2 linked regions of the Medicago truncatula genome follow. The protein of the gene in region 1 interacts with the protein of each later gene in a pairwise test. Links are inferred from orthologs where the notes say so. Each region holds a gene or a part of one and is shown in the gene's direction. Other genes may lie near its edges.

The links. The genes of interacting proteins can lie anywhere in the genome.
Region 2: the proteins of transcription factor BIM1 (region 1) and protein FLC EXPRESSOR interact in binary tests that used the Arabidopsis thaliana proteins (3 or more experiments, as listed by UniProt). The link is inferred for Medicago truncatula from reciprocal best matches to the Arabidopsis thaliana genes BIM1 and AT2G30120.

Annotation. Positions count from the first base shown.
Region 1 is NC_053045.1:53,845,006-53,855,916, reverse strand, and holds the start of transcription factor BIM1, read left to right. Parts: upstream 1-6,853; 5' UTR 6,854-7,141; intron 7,142-7,416; exon of another isoform or gene 7,417-7,434; 5' UTR 7,435-7,829; coding exon 7,830-7,866; intron 7,867-7,987; coding exon 7,988-8,071; intron 8,072-9,988; coding exon 9,989-10,384; intron 10,385-10,911. UniProt on the Arabidopsis thaliana protein: Positive brassinosteroid-signaling protein. Transcription factor that bind specifically to the DNA sequence 5'-CANNTG-3'(E box). Can bind individually to the promoter as a homodimer or synergistically as a heterodimer with BZR2/BES1.
Region 2 is NC_053046.1:32,259,532-32,270,084, forward strand, and holds protein FLC EXPRESSOR, read left to right. Parts: upstream 1-5,401; 5' UTR 5,402-5,520; coding exon 5,521-6,041; intron 6,042-8,634; coding exon 8,635-8,801; intron 8,802-8,919; coding exon 8,920-8,999; intron 9,000-9,188; coding exon of another isoform or gene 9,189-9,246; intron 9,247-9,878; coding exon 9,879-9,971; 3' UTR 9,972-9,995; exon of another isoform or gene 9,996-10,120; intron 10,121-10,121; 3' UTR 10,122-10,137; downstream 10,138-10,553. UniProt on the Arabidopsis thaliana protein: Transactivator required for FRIGIDA-mediated activation of FLC and for the expression of the repressors of flowering AGL27/MAF1 and AGL31/MAF2. Does not alter expression of known activators of FLC expression.

The DNA of each region.
Region 1 (10,911 bases):
GTACATCTCTTTTCTTTCGAACTAATTTATTCAATCCAAAATATATTATATTATCTGATAATTCTGGCATCAAAAACAGATAAATCATCAACTTTTCTATATTTGACCAAAAAAAATCCCTGCTATGGAATTGGATATGTGGTAGTTATATAATAAACTTTCTAGATGTAAGGTTATTATTATACTATTTTTTACCATAAATAATCAATATATATTGTATATATTATTTATCGTCGTTTATCAATGATTAATTTATTTTTTAGATCATAAGACATAATATAGCTTTTCCTTTTTTATATAGATTTGTTCATGCAATATCTATAAATTGAACCTCTGATCATACACAAGTTTTTTCGCTTTTGATTTTTTTCAATTAAGATGATAATTGAATTAGTAAAAATAACCTATAATTTTGTTAGAAACGAGGTTATCGATCAAGATTTTTTAGCCTCGTGAACATTTAAATTATACTTTCAAATTACAAGCCATTTTGACTATTTTACATGAATTAAAAAATAAATAATAAATAATAAAGAGTATAATAGAAAAAATAAAACTAATGTTTTTTAATATTATTAAATAATTTATAATTTGATTTTTTTTTTTTGTTATATCAACTTATAATTTTTTTTGTTACATGAGAAAAAGTCAAAGTAAAAACTAAAAAACAAAAAAAAAATACTGATTGCAATGATAAGCAACACTCATACTGTCCGTCGTAAGCAATAAACGAAGCTCAATTCGAGGGTTAAGCACAATCAATAAATTACTTGTAGACTTGTACCAAGTTTGGCTAAGATGTCAGCATACATATTACCGTCTCTGAGAGTGTGACATAGTTGAAAAGTCCAATCTTTAGCTTTGTATTTTCTTCCCTAAAAAAAAAAATGTATTTTCTAATAATAGCTATCTCATTTCTATAGTGGTGAACTGAAACATCAGCATACTCATAGTATATATATGGAATCATTGTAACAAATAATGTCCTATATTCTAAGACGGAGGAGTAAGATGTAAACTATAAACTAAAAAGCATATATAACCAAATACATTACTATAACCCATTGCAACTTTAACATTTATCCTCCTTAAACAAAAACTTAATTATCCAAAAGGAAAAGTAGAAAGATAAAGATATCGTCGTCACTCCTCGCTGTCCTATTGTATCTTTGCATCACAACGTAAATGCTCGCCATGATTACCGGATAGCTAAAGAATCGTTTCATTAATCTATTGATCAATTGATATTTGTTTATTTAATTCAAAGTGAAAGAAATAATTATAAAACACGATTTAACAAAACAAAAGAAGGTAAGGAGAAGCTTACTGGCCGGCGGAAAGAGAAGAAAGTCCGACACATAGGTTTTAAATTCACATGCCACTACATAATCAACTTAGGAATGTGACAAATTTATAAATAATATTGAGATTATTATATTTAAAGAGCCGTTTCTTTCAATTATATGCATGATAAATTAAACTAAGAAAATGAAATGCGTGGATTAATATGAAAGGTGACAAAAAATTAAATAAATAGCAAAAATGATATAGCCATACTGAAATAATATACTATCATTTATGGAAACCCTAATTAAAGAATGGGGAATACAAGTACATGTTTTGAAGCAAGCAACCATATGTGTCGTTACATTTTAATTGCGTATATAAAAACCGCAATTAGTGGAAGTACATGTATTGTGCATGTATGTGGTGGGTATGAATGAGTGTGAGAGAATCTTGAGGACCTTGCACATGGAGGCATAGGGCAAAGCATGTAGAGAAAGTAAAGAACAAAAACATACATAACATTGTTTAATTATTGTTGATGATCAACAACATTGTTTAATTATTTTTTGATCAATAACATTGTTTAATCTAAGAGACCCTTTAAAAAAAGAATCCCGTATTTGACGGCACAGCTAAAAAGATCAATTTCCATGCTTCAGAATATTGAGAAACCTGATGAGAGATGGTACATCACGTGACATTTCTTCCTTCATTACCAACACATACTGCTTTTCCTCTCTGGCTTCATTCTTCATTTTCTATATCTTGTGAATAAAAAATAAAACAAGAAAAATGTTTTTACTCATGGTAGTAGAGTTTAGCTTAATAAATTTAAATGCAATTTAGTTGGATAATATTGCTTGGGATCTGTGCACTAATCATCGTATCCATATTTTTATCTCCTTAATTTCATTTTAAGGACATCAACTGCTCACTGTTCCGTTCCCATGTCAACGCTTGTTCTGGTCACGTTTTCTCCCCACGTGATTGGCTTCTTGCATTTTTTTTGAAAGAAAAAGACTGTCTTCTTGCATTTATCAGTTACTACTACTAGTAGTACAATATTTTTTGGCATCAAAGTAGTTATTGCGAATGTCTTATAGTAAGAAAATATAATTTCAATTAAAAATATAATAAAAAATGACATGTTTATAAAATGTATTGCTAGTGTGTATTTTAATTTTATATAAGTTACCTAAAAAATATGATTCATGGTATTTAATTGACATATGTCTTTAAAATACAAATAATTATTTGTTTACTGTTTAAAATAAGTAAATACCTCTATCTTTTTTTTAAACGGTCATACCCAATTTGATTCTCCGTTATTCAATTTAGTCTCTCGCAAAAAATAATAATCCATAAAGTTCCTTGTAATTTTATACCTGAGACAAGTTCATTATTTTTTTAGGGTACAAATTAATCTTTTTTTTACAAGAAATTAATCTTTTATTGATTTTGAGTAATATAATAGAAAGCTAATTTTTTTTAGTATAATTATAACAAAAGTCTAATTTTTAGGTACAAAATAGAAGGCTAAATTATTCATGTATAAAAATGTTTGAGATAATATTTTTGTTTAAAACAGAGATAAAGTTGGGATCACAAGGTTCAAGCTGGGGATATCGGGTTTGGTGGTGTCTAATCTCCGGTATACATGTTATTTTGTTAATAGTTGTGTCACAGATGTTAATTTGGATGTAACCTTATTGGGGATGGTAGAGTCTGGGACATCCAATATAATTCGGAGATCATGTTAAAATTTTGATAATTTTTCGTTTCAAACAAAATTGAAAGAAAAAAAAATAACATCACTTATGGTGACTGACAATGGAAGAGAAGTTTTTGGATGATGGAAAATGTGAAGGAAAATAATGGAGAAATCTTTCGAAAAATTTAAAGAGAATTTTTTAGAGAATGATAAATTAATGCATAAGATTACTATATATTTAATTTTAAAAATTTAATAACAACATAAATTAAATTTGAAGAATTCATATAAACTCTCCAAAACCCTCCTTCAATACAATTTTTAAGTTTCCCCAAATGAGGAGAGTTTTGTATTATGAAGAAAAGTTAACCCTCTAAAACCCTTACCTCCCATTTTCCTCTATTTCTTCCACTTGCTCACTCCTTTTTTCCCAAGCATTCCCCTCCCTTCTCTTCCAAACTCGCAAACAAAGCCTAAGTTGTAGTTAAATATAAGAGCAATGTTTTAAACATGGATTTTACCTACAGACATATAGGAATTTATCTGTGAAAAATGCATAATTGACAACATAAGACTTTTACCTACGATAAAAAGATATTTAGTGACGAATTTTGGCCCCAGGTACAAGTTCTATTTTTTCTTCCAAATTTTAAGGCCCCTTTAGATTTAAAGCCTTGGGAAGAGTGGTACTTGAATTTTACGCTTTGTCTTTTCCTTTCATGTATATGGGCCTTCTAGGGGGATGATATGAGCGAAGAGGTGACTTTAGGATCGCCCGGATCAAGCTTGTTTATAGATCGTGGAGCAACTAATTTGTTAGTTTGGGTGGGGTAAACTTTAATTAATTTTGTCGTTAATTTTATCCCTATATTTTGCCTTTATTTTTGTCAAGATGCGTTTAAGGTGTGGATAATGGAAACAGATCGTGTGTCTCCAGAGAATTTTAATTTGAGGCCGTCTATAGGAGGCCTACCAAGTTTTCACGAGTTCATTGCTTTAAGGTTTGCAAGACTAAGTGTACATGAGGCCTTGGAGTGCGGGAATTAAGTCTGTTTAATATGACCTTTTTATGTCAGCGGTGTTGGAGGATTTATTCTGGAGGGTCGTCGGGGTGGGGATAAGAGCATCATCCGTTTGGTGGAAAAGTGTCACAGTAGGTGAGCATCATCTACCTCATATTAGTTCTCAAAATGGGTAATTAGGGTGGTCTGCAATAGGTGAGATACTTTCTTCAGAAGCAATCCTTGGGTGAGATCGGTAACCTGAAATATCCCCTTTCAAAGTTTCTTCTTGGTTTTAGAATAAAAACGTTTTAGGGTTAGGCTTTAGAGTAACTGGATGGGGATTCCTTGGTGTGGTACTTTAGATGGAAGAGATGACTTTTTGCTTTGGAGCAAAAGCTAGGTACCAATTTGATGGCAATTCTATTAGATTTATCCCCCTCAAATGTTTTCGATCTTTGATTGTGGAAGCATGATGCCAATAGTTTGTACTCAATTAGCTCAATGTACTCGGTGCTTTCATAAGCATCTCAGTTGATGGTCGTTCGGGAAGTACTATTTTTAGCGAATGTTTGAAATAGACGAACGTCTTATAAGCAAATTGTTTTCTCTTGGAAGATCCTACACGATAGAGTTTCTACTCGCCGTTGTATGTGGAAACAAAGGTTAATAATGGATCTCATTTGTATTTCCTTGATGTTTTGTGGGGATCTGGAAGAGCCTGATAGCCATTTGATTTTCACTAATGACTTTGCTTCTTGGGTGCGGTATAATTTTTTTAGATGGTTGGGTTGGGAGTTGATTTTGCCTACAGTTGTTTTTATTTCATTGTATAATATTGCTTTTTGTTTGCTATTTTGTGATCTCTTAGACCTGTAATATAACACACACACATTAGAAGTGTTGGAAATAATATTAATAATTGAATGATACTATTAAAAATTGAAAAGGATCTATCAACTAGAGACATTCAGTTTTATAAATGAATCACTTATTATGAGATAGCATGACTATATTCATTTTTTCTTTGCAACAGATAGGGGTATGTTCTTATTTGATACGATGAATATTCATCTACAATGAAATTTCATTTTATTTCAAAAATAATTAAACTAAATTTACTATATCACACACTTTTTTTTTGACAAATACGTTACACTCTTTTTATTTTATTTGCCTTTCCTTAAAATTTCATGTATGTAAGATAAAAATCGAATTTGACATATACCCTTTTTAGTGCAACGATGGAAACCAAAGTATTCTCATCTTGGGAAGAGAACATTTATACATACATGCGCAGGAGATATTAAATTTTGGTCTAATGTTTTTCCTTTTTGTATTTTTTGGTCTAATGTTTTTCCGTTTTGTATTTTCCTTATTATAGCACAAGATGTGTATCAAATAGAAGAAAGAACAATCGAGACCTAGAAAAATAAAACCTAAAACAACGGAAAGAAACAGCACACCAAATGTTGTTTCAGTGAATAACAAAACAAAGAAAATTTAGTGGATTAAACTACCATTGATTCAAACCATACATACTTGAAACTTTTAGTCTTAGATTTAATCCACCACGAAATCTAAACTTTCACTTTATCTAAAATCTAACGAGATATCGGTTCTTTATGATCAAATAGACGTTTATTGCGTTCTTTAAAAGTCTCATGCACACGTCGACTTTGTATGTCGAAAACAAGCTTGAGATTCCTTGTTATTAGAATGAAACCCTCTAAATTGATATGCATGCAAAGAAGCAACATTCTAAAGAGCATTAGAAATGCTCGACCAATTAATGACACCACACGTAAATAAATAATCTTTTTATAGAAAGTATGTGTTTAAGGAACCGTCATGCAAATAACGACACCTCTGAATAAGCAACTTTATTTTAAACAAGTTATGAATGAACAACCGATTCTTCCATCTTTTCTTTAGTAAGCATTTTATAAAATCATTTGACTTGACCAACTATGAAACATTATCCAAGTTATACATTTATTGAGAAATGTTAAATATTAATTAAAAGTCACGTTGTTGTGTCGTTTTATATTTATTAACTAGTTAAATCGTCAACTTTATCAAACATATTAAATTCATCGAGTTAACTTATCCACTATTCGATACAAATTCATATTATTAAATGGTTTATCAACTATCCCCTATTTTTCTTCAAACAGACCCTCATTTGAAAAAAAAAAATTTCAAACTCAAATAAAATATTGACTACATCTTATATCCAAATATCTTCATGTAGGAAAAGCAACACAAAATCATACAATTTATATCAACGAACAATAAAAGTTGAAAACTATCTCGATTCTTAATTTAAGATTGAACATTTGATATAAAAAATTTACGATGCAATTATTACACCGTATTCTTCTTATATTTGTTAAAAAAATCATATATTGGTTCAACATTCACCCTGACCCTGATATAGGATAAATGTTTCTGTGGAAGTACTGCACTAGTACTACATATGTATCTTATGGATTAAAGAAAATCCAGGACACAAATAACAGTATTATATTTTTACTGACACGACCTAATTAATTCCGTAATAAGGGATCACGGATTGCGTAAATATAAATTAAAAATATAGTACTACATCTGCTTAGGGATTGCCGAAGTATTAGAAAAAGTGTTAGCAGAAAACAAAGATAAATTAAAAGTTTTTCACTCTGCTTACCGTGTGTTTGAAGAAACGGCGACGTTTACACAGAATAAACCGTTAATTATTGACTTAACTCCGTTACCCGCCGCAACGTCGTATGTAAACGGAGTTTAAAACTTAACGGAGAAAAAAAAGAATAGAAAGCAAATAAAACTGGATGGCGAAAACACAGAGAGCAGAGAGAAAGTATATAAAAACATCTTTCATCTCAATTATATATCAATATCAATTCTCAAACTCAACAGAGAAAGTTAAAGGGTCCGACCCGAGACCTCATCTTTCGCTGCAGTGCTCGTTTTCAGAGTAACATAAGAACCGATAGAGAAAAAGTGATTATAAGAAAAAGCGCGGCACACAGAGAAGATAGCGCTCGAAGAATCTCTTCTACATCGTGCTCTGCTTCAAGTGTCGCTTCTCAATTCTCAATTTCTTCTGGTTCATCACTTCAGTTACTCAATTATCATTACGGTAATTCACTTATTTTTCAATTTCTTGTTTCTTAGTGGAAATTCGCACGCACTAGTAATTCGTTGTTTGGATCTTTACTTTTTTCAGTTTTTTGATGTATTAACTTCTGAATTTTCTAGAGTTTAGTGATTTTTCAAGCCGAATTATGCTCATGAGTTTTATTGTGTTTAGTCTAATCAGAACTGAAAACGTGTTGAATTTTGAAGTAGAATTGAACTTGAATTATGATTCTTCTTTGTAATGTCTGATTTCTGATTCTGTGAAATTTTTAATAGGAAGCTCTGTGATTGTAGATTTTGGAGTAAAATTGTGATTATCGAACGACCTTCGTGGAAGTCAATTACGAAAGTTTCATTGCATAAGCAACAACTCGAAGATAATCTACAACGATAATTCGAACCGTAAGCTCTTGATTGGCGATTAAGGACGCAGTGCTTGAATTCACAGTAATTCGTAAACTAAACTGAACGAATGTGTCTCCGATCTTCAACCTAACAAGAGAATTACGGTTTCTATTAAATTCGGATCTGATCGAAGCAGCGAATTCTCCATCCCTGTTTTGCCTTCAAAATTCAGAGATAATTCAGTCTTCAAAAGCGGTAGCAGAATTGTGTTCTATGAGATTTGACCGAATTTCAAAATTACGTTGAATTACGTACCAGAGAAGAAAATTGAGATTCAAGTATTGATGGAGCTTCCTCAAACACGTTCTTATGGAGCTGGAGGTAGTTATAATTTTCTTGTTATATTATTGTTTTTTTGAAAAAGGAAATTAATAATAATTAACTTGATTTGAATTAATATTGTTTGGATGAGGTTTTCTGAAACTTTTCTGTGCGGAAACAGGAGCAGGGAGGAAATCGACGCATGATTTTCTGTCGCTATACAGTAATTCAACTGCCGAACAAGATCCAAGGCCATCTGCTCAAGGTACTGTATAATTTGTTTTTTAATTTTTGGTTATTATTATGCAAAATGATTCGGTGTGTGAGATTTTTCTTTCCTATGTTGTTGCCATGTTTTTTTCTGTGACGTGGGGATCATGGTGCAAACCTAAATATCGTATTATAAATTCATCACGGTCAATTTTCTGCCAAATAATTCAACTGTAAATAAAAGCAGTTATACATCATGCTTGTTCCTGCACGTGACCTCTATTTAATCACAGGATCTGGGCCATGCTTCTTATTTATGGACTGCGTATTAATTATATTATTATTATTTTTAATTAACAAAATTTCCTATGGTGGATTCCGAAGGATTTAACATCAAACGGAAAAGTGTAAATCACAATGTATTTTACACCGTCCGATAAAGTGTGCAGCATGAGGATGGGTGGGGGCCCAATTTGATTGGACTTGTAGTTGATTTGACATTTCACATCAGGCTCGATAAGGATTGGCATTCCCGTGTGCGTGTGGTGTAGTTTTTCTGTTCTTTTCGATTGCAAAATTACACTAATCTCAGTTCACCAGCGTTAAGATCTTAATTAAGAGAATGAAAATGAAAGGCATGCATTTTTATTATTTCTCTAATCTTAGTTTTTTATTTTTATTTTTTATTTTTAAATTGAGTATCTCTTCATGCAACAATAGTGATTAATCTCGTTGAATATGATCATAATAAATGAGAAAGTTATCCTTACAAAGAAATTTTGAATTCAAACCTTGGTTAAATTGAAAGAAATAGTTATCATCCCATTTAAATGCACTTAATCTTCGTGTTATTAAACTAACAAAACATGCACATGTTTAACTCTTTTTGCATTTTAGGAAATCTATAAGTTAAAACAATATATATTTTGTACCCTATACTGTGAGAGATCCTTAACGAATATAATTGGTGTTTTAATTTTGGGCTAAAAAACCAGTATAATTGCATTACTATATTCTTTCATATGGACCATTGTAACAAACTTTCTTTCATATGGACCATTGTAACAAACTTTCAATTGTTTTAATATATAAGATCATTTTTTTTTAAAATTATTTGAAAAATTTATTTCCAAGGAAAATTTACAAGTATGTTTAGTAATTGACTAACAAAATGTATCCTTTCATTCTCCTCATTTTTCCATTATTAACTAATAATAGCTAATATTCTATAAATAATTAAATAAATATTACAGAGTAGAGTTTAAAATAAATTCCTCAAATTAATTACTAATTCATGAAATGTTTTTTTTGACAAATGATAATATATGGAAGTTATAACAAACAGGATTTGAGGATTGTATTTTAATATTAAAGTGATTCATTTTTTAAAATTTGATAACTTTAATTTAAACATGTTTGTAAATCAGAACTCAGCACTGATGTGTTACTTCAAAAACAAGATTTATATTACGTGTATGTAAGAAGTGTATGTTGCAGTAACAAAAAGTTAATTTTACTAAGAAATTTGACATTTGTTGTTGTATTTTTTTGTCACATTTTAACCAAAATTAAGCTATAAAACAAATTAGATTCATAAAACTATTTAAAAGATGATGCAATATTTGCAAAAATAAAAAAAAGTGATGTAATAATTATTTCATATTCACTTGAAAATTGTATTGTATTTTATTTCATATTTTGCGAATCCTAGAAAATAGTTTTGAAAACTGGAAAAAGTTAATATTACTTGCCTGCGCACTATTTAATGCACTTACTTGGCATATGCTCACGAGTCTTTTGCTTCATGCACAGAAATGAAAACGATATGTATCAGCTTTTCACAGAATCGTTAGCAAGCTTTTCGCAGTATTTGTGCGTTTTTTATTTTCAAAATTATTTCGGTTATATGAAGGAAATTGTTTTACTTCCCTTGACCTGCATGTCATTATTTCCTTCTTTCATGCATGAACAGCAAGTTTCCTCAAGACCCATGATTTCTTGCGGCCACTAGAGGAGGTAGAAGCAAAATCCAGTGCCAAGGAAGAAGCCACAGATGAAATCTCATCGGTGGTTGAGAAGCAACCCCCTTTAGCAACACCAGCTTCAGTTGAGCACCTCTTACCTGGAGGAATTGGGACTTACAGTATCAGCCACATTAATTCCTGCGTGAATAATAATCAAAGGGTTCCAAAGCCAGAAGCATCATCACTTTTCACTGTGCATCAAGCAACTAGTGCTGATAGAAATGACGACAACTCCAATTGCAGTTCACATACTTCAAGCGGTTTCACATTGTGGGAAGAGTCTGAGATTAGAAAGGGAAAGACAGGAAAGGAGAATAATGTTGGGGATAAACCCATTATAGGAGGTAACCATGAAATATTTTTTGAAGATGTTAAGTAAGAAGTATATATTTTTTATTTTTATTTTGAATCAAGCAAGAAGGATTATTTAAATGGAGAATAATAAGGATAATTCAACCCATTAAAGCAGCCTACACTATGCTTTAAACATCCCATATAAATTGAGCACAAATCAGAATAATATGACAAGATTTTCTACACTCTTTACATATATATGAACAAACCCCAAGATACTAACTAACACTTTAATTTGAAAATTAAGATAAAAATATGAAAGTAATAAAGATAGAAAATGTTTGGGGCGTCAATTTCCTGCATTTTCTTATGATTTCAAGTAAATAAAACACTACAACTCTGTCTAAAAGTCTTTGGCTAATAATACCCCAAGAAACCGTAGCTTTTATTACTAGAATGGTTTTTGAAGTGATAATATAAAGTGTTAGTTTTTTTCTTTCGCCAATGGTTTTGCCTCTCATACCGGATTCATTCATGAAAATAACTGATTGAAAGGGCTTTATTGATTTTATGATAT
Region 2 (10,553 bases), on another chromosome or scaffold:
AAGAACTAAAAAAAAACAGCTTAGCTAGAAACTTCACAGATGCCTAGCAAAAATGTCTCAAACTTCAAAGGCTTGGTCATAATATCTGCTATATGTTCTTGAGTGCTGCAGTGTGACATCTCAACTATTCCTTATTTTGTAAGATCCCTGAGAAAGTGGTATCTAACATCTATATGTTTACACTTCCCATGCAATACAGGATTTTTGGGCAGTTTAATAGATGAACTATTATCACACTGAATGACAGTGCAATTTGTTCCAGGATCCTTCTGAGCTAAACTGCTTGACAAGCACAAGAAGCTGCAGCTACAAACTCTGCTTCAGTAGTGGACAACGTAACAATTGGTTGTTTCTTTGAGGACCATGACACTGACCCTGAACTCAATTTGAAGACATATCCTGTCATCAATGTCTCCAGCATAATCTGAATATGTCCATCCTTGCAGTTTAACACTTACTTTTCTTTCATACATGATTCCCAACAAGGTTGTTCCTCTGAGGTACCCGTACCTGATTACTCTCTTAGCAGCTGCTAGGTGAATTTCAGTTGGTCTTTCCATATATCTAGCAATAAGACAAACTGAGAAGGTAAGATCAGGTCTAGTGGCCAGCAAATACATCAAGCATCCAATCATCTGCCTGTACTGAGTAGAGTCCACAACTTTTCCCTTTTCATCTCTTGACAGCTTGTTTCAAGGGACTATGGGGTTCAATACTTTGTTGCAATTTTCCATACCAAATCTAGATAGAATTTCATTTGCGTATTTCTGCTGATGAATGAATATTCCTCTATCCATCTGCTTGACTTCCACACCAAGAAAATACCTCATCTTGCCCAGATCTGTCATGGAAAATTTATTTTCCATAGAATGTTTGAACTCTTCAAACACTTCTTCATCATTTCAAGTGTAGATTAAGTCATCTACATACAAACTTACGGTAAGTATTTTTCCTCCAGTTTCTTGCCTAACAAACAAAGTATAGTTCTATTAGTGTCCCATCTGGTTACAGGAGCAAAAACTTCATTGTAATCAACTCCATACTTTTGAGAGTACCCCTTTGCTACTAATCTGGCTTTGTGTTTTTCAACTTTACCATTTTCATTGTATTTTGTCTTATAAATCCATTTTACACTAATCTTCCTGCTTCCAGTTGGTATCATTTCTTTCTATGGCTTCAATTTCCTGATCCATAGCCTCTTTCCAACAATTGAACTTTGCAGCTTCCTCATAAGTAGCAGGATCTTCTCTATTACTGAAAAAGCCAGAGTCTGAAAACTGCTTTCTTCTTCTTCTGCTTCTCTTCCTAAGATATAGTCTCTGCTCCATACAGGAGGTTTTCTGATTCTACCAGTTTCATCTTCTTCTTCATTGCATAACTTGTTAGTTGTTACAAATAAAAAAATAAATAAACATCACAACATCAAAGCTGCATCGAACTGTACGTTCATATTCCCATGCATAATATTAGAGAACTAGTAGAAGATATAGTAGAATCAACCGTAAATTTAAACCACAGAGTGTCTCATTTTTTTAATAAAAGTAAACAAATTTAAGCTTTTCAGTCTTATCATATAAAATATTTAATTACTAAAATATTGCGTGTATATACACTTACGACTTGAAACAGAGAAAAATAATGATGTGATATTTTGGTAGCCGAAAGATGGGAATCTGGATATACCAGAAAATAGGTAGAGCGTGTCAAATTTAAGAGACAAAGATGTGAACAAACGTTGAAGGGAAGAAGTGGAATATGATAAACTGGTTTGTGATTTGTGTCAATTTTGATCCCCTTACTTATATTCTTTTAAGGATTTTATTCACCTATTTTGAAATTTGATAGTTTTAATTCCTCAATCAAATGTTTGGTTTAAAATATGATAATATGATATGTTTTAAATAAAATTTTTAAACAACTTTTTTTTTATAACGTCATCAATTTTTTTCTTCCTATCATCGAATCATAAACCACGTTATTAATTTTTTTAGTTAAAAAAATATGATGAAGGGACAAAAAAAATTATCAGATTTTTAAATAGGGAGACTGAATTTGTAAAATGATGAAAATATTATGATCAAAACTACAATTAAATTAAGGGAGCTCTACGGTCATGAAACTGACTTTTTTTAAAAAAGTTAATTTTAATTTTAATGTTTGATTCATTTTTAAATTGTGGATTACTGATTAATGATTAATAGTAACTCATCTAGTAATACTTGCAGCATCTTGAACTTATAGATACTATTTTATTGTTGACATCTTTAACATGCAAACAAAGTTGCTGATATCATGTGATAGTCTTAAGTGTTACACTTTGTGAGGTGTTACACTTAAAACAAAGTAGGATAAAATTAGATTAAGTGTATTCTTGTTAATCTGATGAATTGATGATACTATGAGGACTGAACTTTTGATGTCATTGTATAAATAGTGGGGTGTTACTCACAACACTTTTGATGTTATAGTGTTAACTTCACCAGATAAATCATTCTCATGACTTCATTGTAGAATTTTCCTTAAATTAAAGGGGAAATCGACGAAGCATTTCTCTCGCACAAAAAAAAAAAACGACTAAGCATATAGATGACCGGTTAGTATTTGAGTAAATGCTAGTTTTATCTTTCATCTATTTTCTTTATTACCACCTTACCTATGTTTACCAAGTATGGTAAGTGGTTTCTTATTTCGTCAAATTTCGTTAGAATGCATGGGGTATGGACTCTTACCTAGCTTAGTTAGTTTCAATCAAATTAAAAGAAACTAACCAAGTTTTTTTTTTTTTAGAAACCAACCAAGTTGAGGTAGTCTTGTTCGCAAAACAAAATTGAGTGGTCTCTCAATTTTGAAAACGAATTCAGAGATTCAAGATGATCATATATAATAAGTGGATTGCAAATTGTTAAAGGAATCATAATAATTAAGATATAAGGGTAACATTTTTGTATCCACCTCAACAGAGAAGGACAAATAGAAAGATTTGAAGCTCTTTTATTCTTCCTCTCTCACTGAAATAGCTAGCTTTGATTCAATGTGAAAGCAAACCTGCACATGCAACGTTACTACATCTGTTTTCCTTGAAAACCATAACATACCTTTTATTTTCTCACTTTTCCACGAAATCCACCATTTCATCCATCATAACCCAATACCCACACCTAGATTTTACTACTACATGCCCTCAATATTCTCAACGGACAACTTAATTAACTTTTTTCTACCATTAATTAAATCATTAAATCATTTATGCTTGTGTATCACTATCCTCGAATTGAATCACAAATCCCTAAATCCTAAATTCAATCCCCAAATTCCTAAATCTCAAATTCCTAAATGTCATACAATTCTCTATTTTGTTCAAAATCAAATCTTGCATTAAACGCCAAAATCGAATTACATGATGTTGAGTGTTGGTGCAATTTGGGGATTTAGGGATTTGAGGATTGAATTCAGGATTTAGAGATTAAAGATTCAATTTGGGATATGATCTTCGATTTCAGGGACCAAAGTTACCATACCATTTTCTACTTTTACTTTAGTTCTTGTGATACATCATATGTCATGTCAGCATAAAACATTTGTCACGTCATCGGTTAACAGAATTATTTAATGTTAGGGACTAAAGTGATAACAGAAATGCACATTCAATGATTACTTTGTATTTAATCTTGAGTCAGAGATCTGTGCAGAGTCAGTTACAAAGTGACCATTTACTCTAATAATAAACATGACATCTAATTTGGATATAAAACTATGAACATTAGCTAAATCTAAAGGTAAAACTAACTCCCACCCCAACTACCTAAACACATGATACTACACCTGACATAATAAACCTAAACATACGATACTACACCTGATCTAAAAAAGACGTCTAACAAAAAGGTGATAAATTGATGTTTATTAAATTATTTTTACAAAGGAGGTGTTTTTTTTTATTCGCCAAGGGAGGTGCTAATGTGTTGGGTTTAATTTATATGCATCATCGGTGTACTCAAATTTTACAAATGTTGTCACGTTATTTGATGAGGTATGACGAGTCATGTCTTTTTGACTCGTTAAACAAAGTCACAACATATTATCGGATTTTTTTTTTGTGGTGTTCAAGGTTCGAACCCCGGATCTTGCATATATTGTGCACTGTCCTTGCTAATTGAGCTAAGCTCACGTGAACACAACATATTATCAGATGATGCATCTGTAAAATTTTGTAAACATCACCAATAATGTTTTAGGCAATTAATCCCCTCAAATTGTAAGTTTCGGCAATTACCACCCTAACGTTAACAAAACTTCAATTACCCCTATGAAATTGTACAATGTTAATCAATTTACATCATCCGTCAAATTCTTCTGTTAGTCAATATCATGTTTTGCATATCCCCCTGAAGTTTTGCACTTATGTGCGAAATGCCCCCCGAACTTGATTTTTTTTCTTATACTTAACTCAAAAGATATTAAAGACAAACAATTAACATAGTGGTAAATATTCTTGTAAAAAATGTATAATATATTTTTCAGCTTAGCTACATATTTAAATTGATATGTTTTGTTTTATAAATAGAATAGATAATATTTTTTTAACCAATGATTAGATGAAATTATTTCTAATGGTTTTAGTCTGCAATACTTATCTGATTGTGAAAATTATATCAAGTAACAATATACACTATTATCATTTAGCAATATAATTCATTACCATGTGGCATCATCCACTATTTTGAAATCACATAGATATGAAAGAATGAAATGAATAGTAAATAAATACACCTCTTAGATTAAGCAATAGTCTCATAAATCTTGCTTTAGCTTTGGATTAAAATTGGAGATGCATTAGTTTGTCAGCAAAATTAGAAATTCATTTCACATATTGTTGGGTTTTGGGAGTTTTCTTGTGTCTCATTGTTGTTGTTTATCTTCTTGTTTCATTCTTGCACATCTTGTGTCTCATTGTGCTTGGCTGTGGTTTTAATAGTATAAGTATATTTTGCCTTTGCAACAAAAAAAAGTAGTAGGTAAGTAAATGTTAAGGGACTGAAGTTGAGCCTATTAAGTAGATCATGATAATATTGAAACATAAGAATGAAATAGAAAATCATTAGTGCAGAAGAAACAGCTATTCAGTTTCATTAAAGTTAAATGATAATTATTTACTTTTAATATCTTGAGTGAAGTATAAGAAGTAAAAAAATATAAATTTTCAAATTCGGAGACATTTTGCAAAGTGTCAAAATTTCAAGGGTATTTACAAAACGTTATGTTGACTAAACGAATAATTTGACGGAGGGATAAATTGATTAATTGTGCAATTTCAAAAGTAATTGATGTTTTGTTAATGCGAGAGAGAAATGATTGACGAAAGTAACGATTTCGAGAGGGTAATTGGTATTTACTCGGGAAAAATTATGTAAACCATTTGAATTGAAAGGGAATGAAATAACGAAATTTCTCCGTAGCAGTGAAGCCTGAAACCAGAGTCACTCCTCTAATCCATTCTTCCCCGTCCGTGTAAAACTACAAATGGCAGGACGCAAACATCACCACCACCATAATCTTCACTCTTCTCTCTCCCGCCGCGACGAGCCACGTCTCTCTCATTCCTCCTCCTCCTCCACCTCAACCACCGCCCTCGAAGACCGCATCACCACCCGCCACCGCGAAATCCAAACCCTCCTCCACGACAACCAACGTCTCGCCACAACTCACCTCGCCTTAAAACAAGACCTCACCGCCACTCAACAAGAGCTTCGTCAGCTCTCCGCCGCTGCCGCCGATGTCAAAGCCGAACGAGACGCCGAGGTCCGTCGGATCTACGAGAAATCGCTTAAGATGGATGCTGAGGTACGTGCCGTTGCGGCGATGAAGTCTGATCTTGATCAGGTAAGGGCTGATGTAAGGGAACTTGCGGAGGTAAGGAAGGAGCTTGTGGAACATTTGCAGAGTGTTCAGAGTGAGCTTGCTTTGGCAAGGGAAGATTTGAAGCCATTGCCGATTATTAAAGTTGATATTGAAGCTTTGCGCCATGAGATTCAACGAGGAAGGTAAAATTTTCGTTGTGTTAGTGCTGTTATTGGCTTTGAATTGATATTGAATCGAATCATATGCGAATGTGAATGTGAATGTGAGGGAGAACTTGCTTTGTTAGTGTTGTGATGTGAGAACAATTGTTAATTTTTTTTTTGCGCATTGGTGGCATGTAGAAAGAATGAGTTTCAAAAAAGAATTGAAGCACAAAAGTTGAAGCTTTTAGATTTTGATTGTTGAATGTATTTGGGTTTTTGTTTGTTTCAGTTCTCAAGTAGCGGTTATTGTGTTCCAAAATATGAACAAATCCCTATTGTTTAGCAATATGATATCTAGTACAAAGTGTTGTTAGATAGCGGCTATAGTTGCCCTAGTGTAGTAGAATTTGATTGAGCTGCTATTTTTTGTAATCCACTATTGTCAACATTGGTTGGACCGGCATATCCTTTATAAACTTACTCGGTCCTTACATAGCCATGATACATAGGCCCAATGCTGAGGTATACAGGCCCATTACCGAAATAGATAATATCAATACCGACATAGACTTGTGTCCCAGGGAGAGACTAAGTCATACCAGCACATAAGCAAGTGCTGTTTGCTCAATCAAGCAGCAACGATCACGGATAATACTGGGGTGAGTGGCAATTGCAGTTATCCGAGATCAAGGGCCATGACAGGGTCCTTAAGCAAACCCTAACCCATTCACCTTTTACCACGCAAGCAGTTTTCTCAGACCTTGATCACGGTACATCACCGGCAAGGTAGCCCTCACGTGATCAAGCATGAACATTGGTGATTTTGAGTATGTATAAATTTTGGACAATTCACTCTTGAGGTGCATCAGACTAAAGACTAAACAAGATTAATGAAGTATTTTTGTAACTAATTTTATTTTAGTAATTAGCTATGAATCACCAACACAAACAGGAACACCAAACGACACCACTGACATGTAGTCTGTAGAGATGATATTATTTTATTAAATAGAAGTGATTGAATGTATCTACTTGTGTCGGACACCAAACTCACCTTTAATCTAAACTATGCGTGTTATATATAGTTCAGGAAAAATCTTGGTCTAGATGGTGACATGAATATGCTATGAGGAATGATACCATTTTTAATGATGGTAAATTTGCTATGACTAATATACTAAACCTTATTAAATCCCAGACTTGGTTATGTATTAAAGTGAAGGTTGAGGATCCTTTATTGTCTTTCTCATGTTGGTGCATGAATCCAATATCTTGTATTCTTCAGTGTTGTCAACCTTATTAAATCCCAGACCTGGTTATGTATTAAAGTAAAGGTTGAGGATCTTTTATTACCTTTCTCATGTTGGTGCATGAATCCAATATATTGTATTCTTCAGTGTTGTCAAATTGCGGCTATAGCGTGTTGGAATATGAACAAACCGCTATTGTTTTTCAATACTCTATTTTGTACAAAGTGGTGTCAAGTAGCGGCACTATAGCACTGTAGCCTAGCGGAATTTGAACAAATCACTATTTTCCGCAATCTGCGTTTGATAACATTGGTATTTTTCAATTTGTTTTGTAAGATGGGTTGCTTGGATTGGGTTTTCTGTAAATTAAAGTGCTGGGTGGTTTTTTGTGGTCTGGATGGTTGTATCTGAGTGGTCCATAGAATTGCAGGTGGTTTCGGCCACGTAAAACTTTAAGTATTTGCTACTGTGGGATGACTTCTGGTGTTTCTCGTGTTTATTTTCCATGTAGACCAATGGTGTGACTTGATATCCCAGTATAGTTGGTGTCTGTAGGGCTATAACATTTATAGTGGTGTCTTTACTTGGCTAGTTTTGCATTGTTTGTTGTCACTTTAGCTTGTGGGGGATTGTGTTCTGTTGAGCTGCACCCTTTTGTATTATTTTGCCCTGGTCTGTGGCACTTGTGCTCAGTTTTTTCAAAACTCAACGAATTCATTTGCTTACCGAAAGAAACCATACAAAATGATGGGGAATTAATGGGAGAGGTAAACCATTCAAGCTGGATGAAATAAAGGAGCGCTCTGAGAAGACCTATTTAAATTCTAGAGAAGAGAGTAGTTCACATGAAGGTTTGTTGAATAGTTAGAGGGAGAGGTAAACCAATGAAAACTGTAGACTAAATTAATTTGCTTGTTTCATTCACATTGTTAGAATCATGACCGAGTCTTGATTCATTTATCTGATTACTGGTTGAAGTTATTCACTTTGTCTTATTTTAATACTATCAAATTGAAAAACTATTGTACCCCCTTAAATGACGGACCAGTTCATGTGAAAAACTATTCTTATGTTATGACTTGTTAAGTCTGTGGAAGCATGTCTGATTTATATCTCAATGCTATTTGTGCTATTTGTTTACCCTGATTTCTAATATAGAAGTCTGCAGTTGGTTCTGTTGCTTATCAAACTCTAACCAAAATAACATTTAATTTGAACATCTAGATGTTGTAAATGCGCTCCTCCCAAATATACCTGCTGTTTTTTCTTGTTACATTTTTGGAGCACCTAGTCAGATGCTAGGGAAAAAATCAGTCTTTACCATTGGGCATTTTAAACTTCGATTTGGGCATGTTTTAACTTTTATTCACTGATTCATGTAGGAGTGCTATTGAATTTGAGAAGAAGACACATGCCAATAACCTTGAGCACAACCGGGTAATGGACACCAATATGATCATCATGACCCGTGAGGTTGAAAAATTACGTGCTGAGCTGGCTAATGCAGAAAAGAGGGCAAGGGCTGCAATGGTTGCTGCTGCAATTCCAAGTAATTTGAATTTCTTGCCCATTCACCTTGAAGTGCTTACTTTATAATGCAACAGAAATATAAATGGAGACTTTGAATGAAGTTTATGTTCTGAATCTTTGGAGTGGTTTCTATGCAGGTCCTGGATATCATGCAAACAATCCTGAAATGGGGTTTGGTGGAATCACATATCCTCAAGATTCTTATAGCATGCATCAGGTACGTTGCGACATTAATCACTAATTTTATTTACTTTTCATGTGTTAAGTATAATCTCGAAGTAATCATGTGACAAACATTGTCTTTTATTGATGAATGAAAAATATTGTGATGTTTGTTAACATAATTTATCTGAAAGAAAAGAGACATACTGAACCTACTTCTAAGAAGATATATGTAATTTACAAGGTGAAGGTAGTAGCAGCAAGTATGCTCCGTTTCAAGGTTGTCAAACCCGAGAGTCTAGGTAAACTTTACTAATAAATTTGTAGAAGTTTACCTAATATTAAAATAACATAGATATGAGATATGTAATGTAAATAATATAATATCATTAAAATAAAAATAATTCAACAATTCATCTCAATAACAAAGCATAATTAGTTTTAAATAGATAAATATTTATTATAGAATAATATTGACCAAAGTTTTACTCTTTTAAATCAATATATATTATAGAGCATATGAATAATCAATATCAAATAATATTAACCAAAATTTTACACTTTAAGGTCAAATCAATGTAGAATCGTAAACTACCAGTAAAATCGCGAGTTTATCAAGTTTATTAGAGTTTACCTGAACTTGTAAGAGTTTATCAAAAAGATTGTTTACATGCGATTTAACTAGTTTTTGTGACCTTGAATCTTTAACTCTTAAGAGTTTAAGAGTCAACTCGAGAGTTTGACAACTTTGCTCCGTTTCCCCCTTAATTCTGTCCAGTAAAGAAAAACTTGGTTATAGAGTATGTCTGCTAAATGCATGCATGAAAATGGGATATCTTGTTTTCATATTGGATTGTCTTCTCTTTCCCAATCACGAGACTTCTATAAAACAATGATAGGCAGATGAATAATTTAAATTCGTAAACTTTTTCAGATCCAAGGTGGGGTTGAGGTTCATCCACAGTATGGATATGGAGCAACATTACATCATCCTTATGACCTTCAACAATCACAAGTGCCAAGATAGGTTTTCGACTATGCTTTAATTTATGTAAAGTGAAAGGAAAAAAATGTAACATTGTAACATATTGCGAACATTTTTCACCCTGATATTATCTATTCAATAACTGATTGCTTACAACTTTGATGATATCTGAAAATGGTAAAAATTTGTCAGGTATTATGTATATATTCTAAATTTTGCATGAGAAACAATGATATTGGTTGCTTTGAAGTAGAAATGCCAGAGCTAACAACATTTATTTGTGCTTGTGACTCCCTTTACATTTTCTCTAAATCGACCAACTCATGCTCACCAACTTTCAATATTTGGCTGTCGGTGCATGTAAGTTGGGGAGGTAATATCTGATGACCGGACATGGTATTCTACTATGGAAGCAAATGCTACTGTTAATGCTCTCTCACAATTAGCTGGCTTTTGGACAGGGGAAACATTGACAAGTTTGAGGTTTCCTTTAGTCAAAATGTGTTCGATAAATAAGTAATTTGTAAGAGCATCAAAGTAATGACGGAGGAATCTCAAAATACATATAAAGGCTTGCCTATTGTTTTTGGAAGGTAAAAAAAGGTTGTCTTTTTCACTGTCAAC